Linked DNA regions of Saccharomyces cerevisiae S288C. The main gene of each other region encodes a partner of the protein of the gene in region 2 in a complex. Each region holds a gene or a part of one and is shown on either strand. Other genes may lie near its edges. A codon is read from its position in the direction of its gene.

Region 1 (9,370 bases), on a different chromosome or scaffold from region 2:
CTTGAAGTCTAACAGACCATTGTATAGAGCATCTAGTTGAGATGGCTCTATGTGGTTTTCAAATGGTTCGTCAAAGATAGCCTTCGCCTTAGTGGCAGGGTCAAGGAACGGATACATCATCTTCAAAAAAGCCCACGCAAACCATGGGATATTGATCAGGACACACTTAGCTAACCTTTCAGGGTAATGATCTTGCATGACGTTCAAACACATCCTAGCAATAGAGATGGGTGGAGCTTTATCAGTGATAATACCAGGTTCTTTATAACTTTTGAAATCTACCAAGACTGTGATCTTTTCTACACCTTGGGGAGCTACAGTTGTCGCAGTTTCCATCATGTAGACTAATTCTTGGACTTGTCTAAAGGAAGATTCTGTGTTTTGACGACCATTTTTCATGTAGTATAGAGGTCTTTTAGCGTTGTCAAAGCCCAAAATAACCTGTTTACCAGTTTCGTTCTCAACGGCAACTTTGTCAGCTGTTAAAGGGTCTTTGTCCTCCTTACCATGTGTAAGTCCAATTTCTCTCCTCCATACCAAGGTTTTGGTGAGACCTTTTATGGCGTTCGCGGTGTTCCATTTATTGGCTCTTAGGTATCTTAGAAAACACTCCCTAGAAAGCCAAAACTTCTCCCAATCACTCAAGGGTCTGTCATTGGCATGTGTCCCATTGTCAAGGTCATTGAGATTTTCTGGTAATTTCAGATCATCATCTTGAAAATGTCGTAAGACAGCTCTATATTTTTCGTTTTGATCTTCGGAGATGGGTTCCAGTAGAGGTGCGTTACCATACTTGGCAGGAGGGTCCAAGAATATCTTATCACATGGAATAAGTTTCTCTTTAGGCACAGCAGGCGTATGGTCCCGTTTTCTTGAAAAAAGACCCATTTTTGTTCTTCTTCTTGTGCTTTCTTTGTGTGATTTTTCAGGGTCTTTTTTTTTAAACAATGATGTAAATTAAATCTATCTAAAAAGCGTGATTTTTCCCACGAATTTTAATCCCTCTATTGTTCTCTTTCCACTCCATATTGAGTGAAAGGAAAAATAAGAAAAGTAAATAGAAAATTTATGACGTAGGAATAAAAGTATATAAGTATTTAACAAATTGACCGTAGATAATAATAATGCGCATGAAATTAAATCCTCTCTTTGATCTCTTCAATCAAGATCAACCCATTAACCACATTAGAACATTTTGCCAAATGAAGCCATAGACGAATAGGAAGTAATTGCACTTCTTGACGGTCGATTTGCTGATGGAAACGTGTATATCATCGTCTTCAGCACCGGAGCGGCTTAGTAAATTGAACTTGACGGATCTTAGTAGGAATACGCCAAAGGCAATAAATAAGTAAAATTTTATCAAAATATTCAGGTTAAATGGCATGGTCACGTTGGTCAAAAGCTGGGCGAGAATCAATGGAACAAATTTGTAGCCGACATAGCACAACAGTTCGACCAAACTGAAGCTTGGAATCTTAGAATCGATCAAAAGATACAAGCCAAGCTTCAAAATCAACAAATCTAAACACACAAACGCCAGAGTAGAAGACAGTTTGTAGTACAAGTCTTCGGGGTTGAATGAACCCTTCAGACCTTGCTGCGTATTCCAGATGAGAATATAGGTAACTAGTCCCATAATAGGCATGTACATGTCTGGGGAGTTCACGTCATCCCTTGGTGGCAAAAAGTTGCCAGAGTCCATAATTCGTTGCCAGTTCTTGGTTCCGTTAAGAAAAGGAACTAGGATGAGTTTCAATTTATTGATGACATAACGGGTGCTGACTTGAAAATACGTTGAAATTTGTTGAGAGCCGGCAGCGTTTGCAGTGGCTTTATTGACCGTTTCTTGAAACTGGTTAAAGTTATCCTGACCAATAAAATTAGAAAATGCGCTCTGCCCTAGTTGGAATGCCATCGAACCACGAGGATCTTGGAATGGAAAACCACCGCCACTGCCATTTACGTTTGCATTCATATTCGCATTACCTTGGCCATTCACGGGCGTGTTCCTCGGAATTTGCATTGGTCGTTGCTGTTGTGGAGTGTGGGAAAAGCGATCGTTAACGCCATTCTGCTCACTTGTTGCATATGCGTACGGATTATAAGACATCTTGGTATGGGCCTTTGGTTTTCGTTTTCTGCTATTGATACTCAGTAGCGAGGTCTTACAATCGAAAAGTCAAAAAGATGAGTTGTAGTATAAAACAACAGCTCTGGTGTGCAATATGGATCTTGATACAGAGTCTCGGATATGCTGTTTTAGCACTGAGAAAAAGTAATAGTAACACTGTCAGTGTTCGTCAAAGGCCCAAGTTTATTGTCATTTGAATTGTCAGAATGGTTTATTTTCAGGTAGGGTAACCAGAACGCGTAAGTTTCTTGCATCTTTTACCATTTTAACTGGAAGAGGACCTATCAAAAAGAGCATATGATGATGAAAGAGCACATTCTATCAAGATAACACTCTCAGGGGACAAGTATATGATGTTTGGCAAGAAAAAAAACAACGGAGGATCTTCCACTGCAAGATATTCAGCTGGCAACAAGTACAACACACTCTCAAATAATTATGCGCTTAGCGCGCAACAGCTCTTAAATGCTAGTAAGATCGATGACATCGATTCGATGATGGGATTTGAAAGATACGTACCGCCGCAATACAATGGCAGGTTTGATGCGAAGGATATAGATCAGATTCCAGGCCGCGTAGGGTGGCTGACGAACATGCACGCAACGCTGGTCTCTCAGGAAACCTTATCCAGTGGTAGTAATGGCGGCGGCAATTCGAATGACGGAGAACGTGTAACGACCAACCAAGGTATTTCCGGAGTTGACTTCTACTTTTTAGATGAAGAGGGTGGGAGCTTCAAGTCGACAGTTGTCTATGACCCATACTTCTTTATTGCGTGTAACGATGAATCAAGAGTAAATGATGTGGAGGAACTAGTGAAAAAATATCTGGAATCTTGTCTCAAAAGCTTACAAATCATTAGAAAGGAAGATCTTACCATGGACAATCACCTTTTAGGGCTGCAGAAGACACTTATTAAGTTATCATTTGTAAATTCCAATCAGTTATTCGAGGCCAGGAAACTCCTGAGGCCAATCTTGCAGGATAATGCCAATAATAATGTGCAAAGAAATATATATAACGTTGCTGCAAATGGCTCGGAAAAAGTTGACGCCAAACATCTGATCGAAGATATCAGGGAATATGATGTGCCGTATCATGTCCGAGTATCTATAGACAAGGACATTAGAGTCGGTAAATGGTATAAGGTAACTCAACAGGGATTCATTGAAGATACTAGGAAAATTGCATTTGCCGACCCTGTGGTAATGGCATTTGATATAGAAACCACGAAGCCGCCTTTAAAATTCCCGGATTCCGCCGTAGATCAAATAATGATGATTTCGTATATGATCGATGGGGAAGGTTTTTTGATAACAAATAGGGAGATAATCTCTGAGGATATTGAAGACTTTGAGTATACACCGAAACCGGAGTATCCTGGTTTTTTCACCATATTTAACGAAAACGATGAAGTGGCGCTTCTACAAAGGTTTTTTGAACATATAAGAGATGTACGACCCACTGTTATATCCACCTTCAATGGTGACTTTTTCGATTGGCCTTTTATACATAACAGAAGTAAGATTCACGGCTTGGACATGTTCGATGAAATTGGTTTCGCTCCAGATGCTGAAGGTGAGTACAAGTCCTCATACTGCTCTCACATGGATTGTTTCCGTTGGGTGAAGCGTGATTCTTATTTACCACAAGGTTCCCAGGGTTTAAAAGCTGTTACTCAATCTAAGCTAGGTTATAACCCAATTGAACTGGATCCCGAATTAATGACGCCGTATGCATTTGAAAAGCCACAGCACCTTTCCGAATATTCTGTTTCCGATGCAGTCGCTACGTATTACCTTTACATGAAATATGTTCATCCTTTTATCTTTTCCCTTTGTACTATTATTCCTTTGAACCCGGATGAAACATTGAGAAAGGGTACCGGTACTTTGTGTGAAATGTTGTTGATGGTTCAAGCTTATCAACATAATATTCTTCTACCAAATAAGCATACAGATCCCATTGAGAGGTTCTATGATGGACATCTTCTAGAATCCGAGACTTACGTGGGTGGACATGTGGAGTCATTAGAAGCTGGTGTTTTTAGGAGTGATTTGAAGAATGAATTCAAGATAGATCCTTCTGCCATTGATGAATTATTACAAGAATTACCAGAAGCTTTGAAATTTAGTGTGGAAGTTGAAAATAAGTCCAGTGTAGATAAAGTAACGAATTTTGAGGAAATAAAAAACCAGATAACGCAGAAATTATTAGAGTTGAAGGAAAACAATATAAGAAACGAACTACCTTTGATCTATCATGTAGATGTCGCCTCTATGTACCCAAACATCATGACTACAAATAGACTACAACCAGATAGTATCAAAGCAGAGCGCGATTGTGCTAGTTGCGATTTTAATAGACCCGGAAAAACCTGTGCAAGAAAGTTAAAATGGGCTTGGAGAGGAGAATTCTTTCCCAGTAAGATGGATGAGTATAACATGATCAAGCGTGCATTACAAAATGAGACTTTTCCCAACAAAAACAAGTTTTCTAAAAAGAAAGTTTTGACATTTGATGAACTAAGTTACGCAGACCAAGTTATCCACATAAAAAAACGTTTAACTGAATATTCAAGGAAAGTTTATCATAGGGTTAAAGTATCAGAAATTGTCGAACGAGAAGCCATTGTCTGCCAAAGAGAAAATCCATTCTACGTCGATACCGTGAAATCCTTTCGTGATAGGCGTTACGAATTCAAAGGTTTAGCCAAGACTTGGAAGGGAAATCTGTCCAAAATTGACCCATCTGATAAGCATGCGAGAGACGAGGCCAAAAAGATGATTGTGCTTTATGACTCATTACAATTAGCTCACAAAGTTATTTTGAATTCGTTTTATGGGTATGTTATGAGGAAAGGCTCTCGTTGGTATTCCATGGAAATGGCGGGGATTACGTGTTTAACAGGTGCCACGATCATTCAAATGGCGAGAGCTTTAGTAGAAAGGGTAGGAAGACCATTAGAATTAGATACTGATGGTATTTGGTGTATCTTACCAAAATCTTTCCCTGAAACTTACTTTTTTACATTAGAAAATGGTAAAAAGCTTTATCTCTCCTACCCATGTTCCATGCTGAATTACAGAGTTCACCAAAAGTTTACGAATCACCAATACCAAGAATTAAAAGACCCATTGAACTATATATATGAGACGCACAGTGAAAACACGATTTTTTTCGAAGTTGACGGACCATATAAGGCCATGATTTTGCCTAGTTCCAAGGAAGAAGGAAAAGGTATAAAGAAAAGATATGCTGTCTTCAATGAAGACGGCTCACTTGCTGAACTGAAAGGTTTTGAATTGAAGAGGCGTGGTGAATTACAACTAATAAAAAATTTTCAAAGTGATATTTTCAAGGTCTTTTTGGAAGGTGATACATTAGAAGGATGTTACAGTGCTGTAGCAAGCGTATGTAACCGTTGGTTAGATGTTCTTGATTCACATGGTCTTATGTTAGAAGATGAAGACTTGGTCAGTTTGATTTGTGAAAATAGAAGTATGTCAAAAACTTTAAAGGAATATGAAGGGCAAAAATCTACTTCTATTACGACGGCAAGGAGATTGGGGGATTTTTTGGGTGAAGATATGGTAAAAGATAAAGGTCTACAATGTAAATATATTATTAGTTCAAAACCTTTCAATGCACCTGTTACTGAACGAGCCATTCCAGTCGCAATATTTTCAGCGGACATTCCCATCAAAAGGTCTTTTCTGAGGCGATGGACATTAGATCCATCTTTGGAAGATCTGGATATCAGAACCATAATCGATTGGGGTTATTATAGAGAAAGACTTGGATCTGCTATACAAAAGATAATTACTATTCCAGCAGCATTACAAGGGGTTTCCAATCCTGTTCCAAGGGTTGAACATCCAGATTGGCTAAAAAGAAAAATCGCTACAAAGGAGGATAAGTTTAAGCAGACTTCACTAACCAAATTTTTTTCGAAGACAAAGAATGTACCAACAATGGGCAAGATAAAAGATATCGAGGATTTGTTTGAACCAACTGTAGAAGAAGATAACGCCAAAATTAAAATTGCAAGAACTACTAAAAAGAAAGCCGTATCCAAGAGGAAAAGAAATCAGCTTACAAATGAAGAAGATCCACTAGTATTGCCCTCGGAGATTCCTTCCATGGACGAGGACTATGTTGGGTGGCTAAATTATCAAAAAATTAAATGGAAAATCCAAGCAAGAGATAGAAAGCGTCGAGACCAATTATTTGGTAATACAAACAGCTCCCGTGAAAGAAGTGCACTAGGAAGTATGATTAGGAAGCAAGCTGAATCATATGCGAACTCCACTTGGGAGGTCTTACAATACAAGGATTCCGGTGAGCCAGGGGTTTTGGAAGTATTTGTAACAATTAATGGCAAAGTCCAGAACATCACCTTCCATATACCAAAAACTATTTATATGAAATTCAAATCTCAAACAATGCCGCTACAAAAGATTAAGAATTGCCTTATTGAAAAATCTTCTGCATCGTTACCAAATAATCCCAAAACGTCTAATCCAGCAGGCGGTCAGCTATTCAAAATTACTCTACCGGAATCTGTCTTTCTGGAAGAAAAGGAAAACTGCACTAGTATCTTCAACGATGAAAATGTACTTGGTGTATTTGAGGGCACTATCACTCCTCATCAAAGAGCGATCATGGATTTGGGAGCTTCGGTAACGTTCCGCTCAAAAGCAATGGGTGCGTTAGGCAAGGGAATACAGCAGGGTTTTGAAATGAAGGATCTTTCAATGGCGGAAAATGAAAGGTATCTGAGTGGATTTTCAATGGACATTGGCTATTTACTACATTTCCCAACATCAATTGGGTATGAATTTTTTTCATTATTCAAGTCATGGGGAGATACTATTACTATATTAGTTTTGAAACCATCCAACCAGGCTCAGGAAATAAATGCCTCATCATTAGGACAAATATACAAACAAATGTTTGAAAAAAAGAAAGGTAAAATAGAAACATATTCTTACTTGGTTGATATTAAAGAAGATATCAATTTTGAGTTTGTATATTTTACAGATATCTCAAAATTGTACAGAAGACTATCACAGGAAACTACTAAATTAAAAGAAGAAAGAGGTCTGCAGTTTTTACTCTTGTTACAATCTCCGTTTATCACTAAGCTCTTAGGCACAATCCGGCTTCTAAACCAGATGCCCATTGTTAAGCTTTCCTTGAATGAAGTTCTTCTACCCCAATTGAACTGGCAACCGACATTATTGAAGAAACTTGTTAACCACGTTTTATCCAGTGGTTCGTGGATTTCTCACTTGATCAAGTTATCCCAGTATAGTAACATTCCAATCTGTAATTTGAGGCTGGATAGTATGGATTATATTATTGATGTTCTTTATGCAAGAAAACTAAAAAAAGAGAACATCGTGCTTTGGTGGAATGAGAAAGCTCCACTTCCAGATCATGGAGGCATTCAAAATGATTTTGATTTAAATACATCATGGATAATGAATGATTCAGAATTTCCCAAAATTAATAACTCAGGTGTGTATGACAATGTAGTTCTCGATGTTGGTGTTGATAATTTAACAGTGAACACAATTTTGACATCAGCATTAATCAATGATGCTGAAGGCAGTGATCTAGTTAACAATAATATGGGTATAGATGACAAAGATGCCGTTATTAACTCGCCATCTGAATTCGTGCACGACGCCTTTTCTAATGACGCTTTGAATGTTTTAAGAGGTATGTTAAAGGAGTGGTGGGATGAGGCCCTAAAAGAAAATTCAACCGCAGATTTGTTGGTAAATTCCCTGGCAAGTTGGGTTCAAAACCCGAATGCGAAACTATTCGACGGATTACTAAGATATCACGTTCATAACTTAACAAAAAAAGCCTTACTTCAATTAGTAAATGAATTTAGTGCACTTGGCTCAACTATTGTATATGCAGACAGGAATCAAATTCTAATAAAGACAAACAAGTACTCACCTGAAAACTGTTACGCCTACAGCCAATATATGATGAAGGCAGTTAGAACAAATCCAATGTTTAGTTATCTGGACTTAAATATCAAACGTTATTGGGATCTGCTAATATGGATGGATAAGTTTAATTTTAGTGGATTAGCATGTATTGAAATAGAGGAAAAGGAAAATCAGGATTATACCGCTGTTTCGCAATGGCAACTAAAGAAGTTTCTGTCACCAATATATCAGCCCGAATTTGAGGATTGGATGATGATCATATTGGATAGTATGCTAAAGACAAAGCAGAGCTATCTAAAATTGAATTCAGGGACGCAAAGACCTACCCAAATAGTTAATGTAAAAAAACAAGATAAGGAAGATAGTGTTGAAAACTCGTTGAACGGATTTTCTCACCTTTTTTCCAAACCACTAATGAAAAGAGTCAAAAAGCTTTTTAAAAACCAGCAAGAGTTCATTTTAGATCCTCAGTATGAGGCAGACTATGTTATTCCTGTTCTTCCTGGTTCCCATCTGAATGTGAAAAATCCCCTTCTAGAACTTGTCAAATCACTCTGCCATGTCATGTTACTTTCAAAGAGTACAATTTTAGAAATCAGGACCCTGAGAAAAGAACTGCTGAAGATATTTGAATTGCGTGAGTTTGCTAAAGTAGCGGAATTCAAAGATCCAAGTTTGAGTCTCGTGGTGCCGGATTTTTTATGTGAATACTGTTTTTTCATTTCTGATATTGACTTTTGTAAGGCAGCTCCTGAATCTATTTTTTCATGCGTCAGATGTCACAAAGCCTTTAATCAAGTATTGTTGCAAGAACACCTGATTCAAAAACTACGTTCTGATATCGAATCCTATTTAATTCAAGATTTGAGATGCTCCAGATGTCATAAAGTGAAACGTGACTATATGAGTGCCCACTGTCCATGTGCCGGCGCGTGGGAAGGAACTCTCCCCAGAGAAAGCATTGTTCAAAAGTTAAATGTGTTTAAGCAAGTAGCCAAGTATTACGGTTTTGATATATTATTGAGTTGTATTGCTGATTTGACCATATGAGTAAGCAGTATATAACGCGAGGTTCAATGGCCTCTTTACCATGAAAAAAAAAAAAAAAAAAAAAAAAAGGTAAGGAAAAAGAGTATTTTCAATTCGTTTCTGAACATATAAATATAAATAACCGAAAAATTAGCCCTTGAACATAATTAACACTCTTCTTTGATATTTAAATCACAAGTACTTTTCTTTTATTTTCTTCTTAATACTTTTGGAAATA
Region 2 (4,367 bases):
CTCGGGCGGATCCTTAGTTTCTTACGTTTTAGCTCTAACACTAATCAAAATTCTTATGAAGTGTTGGGACGGGCTTTTGGGCCCCAATTCTTTGTTGGATTTTCCTGATATCTCACAATTTTTAGCTTCCTTAGTTTTTCAATATTACCGCTTTGTTCATTTGGTGCGAACGACAGCTTTGAGTCATACTCTGATTTGACAGTGCCACTCAACCATCCTGGCATTGCCGATAAAATCTTATAGCCCGTAGTATTTGGATTCATTTTGCTTAAGTCTTTCTTCTCATCATCACATTTCTGCATCACATACCAGATTGCATCCCATGGAGCGTTAGTCTTTAGGGACGATGGTTGGGCATGTGTCAATGAACATTCAAAGCCTAGGGAACCTAGGCCTGCGACTACTTTTTTCAAGGGAGGTACTTGTAATTTTATTACCGATGCAATATGGTTAGGACTGAAATAGAATGGCGAATCGGATAATTCATTCTTAGCTAGAGATAGCATACCTTCAATTCTTTTACGTGTTCCATATGTATCATCCTGGTCACGATGCTCTTCTTTATTAATTCTCAACACCTCCTCGATGAACTCCTTGTTGTGTAGAGGTCCTGCATACATTGGACCAGCTAAATGGTATGTCCCCTCGCAGAACTTACATTTAGTATCAACCGGAGGCCCTTGCGCAACCGAGTATTTGGTGAATGTTTTGTTGTTCCTACCTTCGCGTTGAGAAATTCTGCCCAGAGGTTGATTGTGGTAAGAGCCGCAACGGGAACAATGGTAAGTAGTCATAGTACTTGACATAACGTTTTTGACTTCAATCGGGCTTGTTTTGACTTTGACAAAAACTCTGACGTAAAAGTCAATGCTCAACGACAAAAGCGGTTCCACAGTTTTCTTGTATTTCGCGGCAGTTTGCTTTAGTAAGTTCAATACTAGTCTCAGCGCACTTTCGTGAGTTGATTCATGAGAAACCATATTTGCACCACCATATAAGGCAAAACACTTTTCTGGGTATCCGTTACCGGCCAAAACGGATAAATCAGTGCAAGTTACCAGCATTAGACCACCCTCCTCAATACTCTGAATAGCCGCATCTACAAAAGGTGTAACGGTACCGTAAGGATCCAAGTCGATGACGTGAAACTTATTATTCGTCGCTTTGTTACGGTACATTAAGACATTAGCATCATCAAGGTTTGGCTTGACAATGTTTTCGACACTATTATATTCAACGTTTCGTTTTATAGATTCGACAGCCTCTGGAAGTAAATCGTTAGCAATAACTTCCCTCACATGGGGAATTTCATGAGCATACCTAATGGCTCTTAACCCAGTGGCTGACAATGCTTCCAAAATATTTATATAAGGTTCGTTTCGATTAGAATTACCAACGGCTTCTTTTGGTGACCCGTTTCCCATTTTTTGACGCTTGGAAGAATCATCGTTAGTTTCCGCGCACCTTTTCTTCTTACTTTTTTTATTATTTCTCTTTTGGCCACATTCCTCACCATATAGGTTGTCCCACGCCTTGATGCATGTAACACTTAGATCTCTATTAAATTGTTGGATGGGATTATAGAAAACAGTTTCCTTTTTAGGGAAAAGAATTTCTGCTTTTCCTTCCTTGACTATATTGAAATCCTCAATATTGATTCTTGGTGCACCATACGCGGTAAAATTCGCTTTAATTTTGGATATAGCAGCCTTCAACATTCCGTGTAAATTTGCCCGCTTGAGGGGTATCCTGAAGAAACCTTCCATATCTACATTGTAAGAGGAAAGGTATCAACTTATGACTGCTCAGGATCTGTAACTTTGCGATGAGCATTGAATGCGATGAAAAAAAAATAATGCTTTATCCCTTTGGACGAATAAAGAAAGGCTCAAATTGGAATAACGTTAAAAACCAGATTCGATCATCAGAGCTTAAAATTGTTATTCATAGCGGCACAATAGCAGAAGCCACAGAATATTACCTAGAGGTTTTAGGTGAAAGGAAGGATTTTTTTAATTATTTAATACTTTGAAATAGAAGTCAAGCCTTTCATTGCTTATTTATATCAGACCATATATTTTTACACACGATGCCACCAAAAGGTTGGAGAAAAGACGCCCAAGGGAATTACCCCACTACTTCGTATATTAAAGAACAAGAGAACATTACGATTCAGGACCTGTTATTTCCTAAAAGCACTATTGTGAATTTGGCACGCGAAGTGCCACAGCAAAGCGGCAAAAAGCTGCTGATAAATAAAGACGCATCACTAGCGTTACAGCGTGGTGCTACAGTATTTGTTAACCACTTGCTCCTGTTTGCAAGGGAAATTGCAAAGAGTCAAGATAAAAAAAGCTGCAGTGTAGATGATGTTCTGAGTGCTTTGGACCATATAGGACACTCGGCATTGAAGGGTCCGGTTAGAGATAAACTAGATGAATACCAAGCTGCTGTTGAACAGAGGAAGAAGGAAAAACTAGATAGTGGTGAAGTAGATGCTGATGGCGATATAGATATGGGTGAAGATAAGGAGAATGTGCCCGTGGAAAAGGTTAAAGAGCATGACGAAATAGAAGAACAAGGCGATGCATTACAGGACGTAGAAGAGTCCTCCGAAAAGAAACAGAAAACGGAGAGCCAAGATGTAGAAACTAGAGTTCAAAACCTTGAGCAAACGTAACCCCGCTATGGAAACTGTCTAGTAGTGCTTGCCACCACTCCCACAGGATCGTAGTATGTAACTTGCCTTTATTACCTACATACATAATAAGCTATACTCATCGTCGTTATTTGCAAGCCGGGGAACCCAACGCGGCGCCAATGCGGAAGGAAAGAAAGGGGACAAGAAGTTGATATTGGTGGAACGTTAACAAGAAATTATGGCGTTGAGGAAGTGTATTAGCGAGATACGATATCAAGCAGGTTTAGTTAGAGCCACTTTGTGATTTGAAATTTTTTGAGATTTACTTCGTTATTATAAGGACATACGGTAACCTAGGCTAGTTAACATAATTAGTTGTCACCCTTCGCCCCCCTACCCTATCGGTCTTTCATTTTCCAACTATTGATTAGTAAAATTCAAACATCTTTGCTCCGATTAGAGCAACTGAATATACTAGGGATTTTGGGCTATTACGCATTTTTTTTTTCAACTTCTTTTAAACAGGTACAGTTTATTACGATTACTTTTTGCTCACGTAGAATATGGATGATTATCACGTAAATACTGCCTTCTCAATGGGCAGAGGTAACCAGCAGGATGATGGCAATAGTGAAAGCAACAGCATGCATACACAACCAAGCACTATGGCGCCCGCTACGCTGAGAATGATGGGAAAAAGTCCACAGCAGCAGCAGCAGCAGAACACACCGCTAATGCCCCCGGCGGATATCAAATACGCCAATAATGGTAACTCACATCAAGCAGAGCAAAAGGAGAGACAAGTAGAACTTGAAGGTAAATCGAGAGAGAATGCACCAAAGCCAAATACTACCAGCCAGAGTCGAGTTTCGTCTTCTCAGGGCATGCCTAAGCAGTTTCATCGAAAATCGTTAGGAGATTGGGAGTTTGTTGAAACAGTTGGTGCAGGTTCTATGGGTAAAGTGAAGCTGGCAAAACATCGTTACACTAATGAGGTTTGTGCAGTAAAAATTGTAAACCGTGCTACAAAGGCTTTCCTACATAAAGAACAAATGCTGCCACCACCCAAAAATGAACAAGATGTTTTGGAGAGACAGAAGAAATTAGAGAAGGAAATATCTAGGGACAAAAGAACTATTCGAGAAGCGTCCTTGGGACAAATCTTATATCATCCACACATATGTAGACTTTTTGAGATGTGCACGTTGTCAAATCATTTCTATATGTTGTTTGAATATGTTTCAGGTGGTCAGCTGTTAGACTATATCATCCAACATGGGTCAATACGAGAACACCAAGCGAGAAAGTTTGCTAGGGGTATCGCGAGCGCCTTAATATATTTGCATGCTAACAACATCGTCCATAGAGATTTGAAGATAGAAAATATAATGATTTCAGATTCCAGTGAAATCAAGATAATTGATTTTGGACTTTCAAATATTTATGATTCTAGGAAGCAGCTTCATACATTCTGTGGCTCTCTGTATTTTGCCGCTCCCGAGCTGTTAAAAGCGAATCCTTATACAGGACCTGAAGTAGATGTCTGGTCATTTGGTGTAGTTTTATTTGTTTTGGTATGCGGTAAAGTGCCATTTGACGACGAAAATTCGAGCGTTTTACATGAAAAGATCAAGCAAGGTAAGGTTGAATATCCCCAACATTTATCTATCGAAGTAATATCACTGTTATCCAAAATGTTGGTAGTAGATCCGAAAAGAAGAGCCAC

The links. Proteins that work in one complex are often made in the same cells at the same time.
Region 1: the proteins of DPB4 (region 2) and POL2 are in contact, whole or in part, in a cryo-EM structure (PDB 6WJV), measured with the Saccharomyces cerevisiae proteins. Residues at the interface, in NP_010406.3 of Saccharomyces cerevisiae: Ser18 (codon at 2,141), Tyr19 (codon at 2,144), Ile20 (codon at 2,147), Lys21 (codon at 2,150), Glu22 (codon at 2,153), Gln23 (codon at 2,156), Glu24 (codon at 2,159), Ile26 (codon at 2,165), Gln29 (codon at 2,174), Asp30 (codon at 2,177), Arg65 (codon at 2,282), Val69 (codon at 2,294), Asn72 (codon at 2,303), His73 (codon at 2,306), Leu76 (codon at 2,315), Phe77 (codon at 2,318), Arg79 (codon at 2,324), Glu80 (codon at 2,327), Val92 (codon at 2,363), Asp93 (codon at 2,366), His101 (codon at 2,390), Ile102 (codon at 2,393), Gly103 (codon at 2,396), Ala106 (codon at 2,405), Pro110 (codon at 2,417), Arg112 (codon at 2,423), Asp113 (codon at 2,426), Asp116 (codon at 2,435), Gln119 (codon at 2,444), Glu123 (codon at 2,456); in NP_014137.1 of Saccharomyces cerevisiae: Val1270 (codon at 6,292), Gly1271 (codon at 6,295), Trp1272 (codon at 6,298), Leu1273 (codon at 6,301), Tyr1275 (codon at 6,307), Lys1277 (codon at 6,313), Ile1278 (codon at 6,316), Trp1280 (codon at 6,322), Lys1281 (codon at 6,325), Ile1282 (codon at 6,328), Ala1284 (codon at 6,334), Arg1287 (codon at 6,343), Glu1302 (codon at 6,388), Met1309 (codon at 6,409), Ile1310 (codon at 6,412), Lys1345 (codon at 6,517), Asn1348 (codon at 6,526), Lys1581 (codon at 7,225), Glu1582 (codon at 7,228), Glu1583 (codon at 7,231), Arg1584 (codon at 7,234), Gly1585 (codon at 7,237), Leu1586 (codon at 7,240), Leu1607 (codon at 7,303).

What each region holds. Positions count from the first base shown.
Region 1 is NC_001146.8:145,728-155,097, forward strand, and holds POL2 (DNA polymerase epsilon catalytic subunit), read left to right. Parts: upstream 1-2,484; coding exon 2,485-9,153; downstream 9,154-9,370. Other genes in the region: PDR17 (phosphatidylinositol transporter), read right to left, coding at 1-888; protein transporter YIF1, read right to left, coding at 1,169-2,113. UniProt on the Saccharomyces cerevisiae protein: Catalytic component of the DNA polymerase epsilon complex which participates in chromosomal DNA replication.
Region 2 is NC_001136.10:691,496-695,862, forward strand, and holds DPB4 (DNA polymerase epsilon noncatalytic subunit), read left to right. Parts: upstream 1-2,089; coding exon 2,090-2,680; downstream 2,681-4,367. Other genes in the region: TRM1 (tRNA (guanine26-N2)-dimethyltransferase), read right to left, coding at 54-1,766; serine/threonine protein kinase KIN1, read left to right, coding at 3,205-4,367. UniProt on the Saccharomyces cerevisiae protein: As accessory component of the DNA polymerase epsilon (DNA polymerase II) participates in chromosomal DNA replication.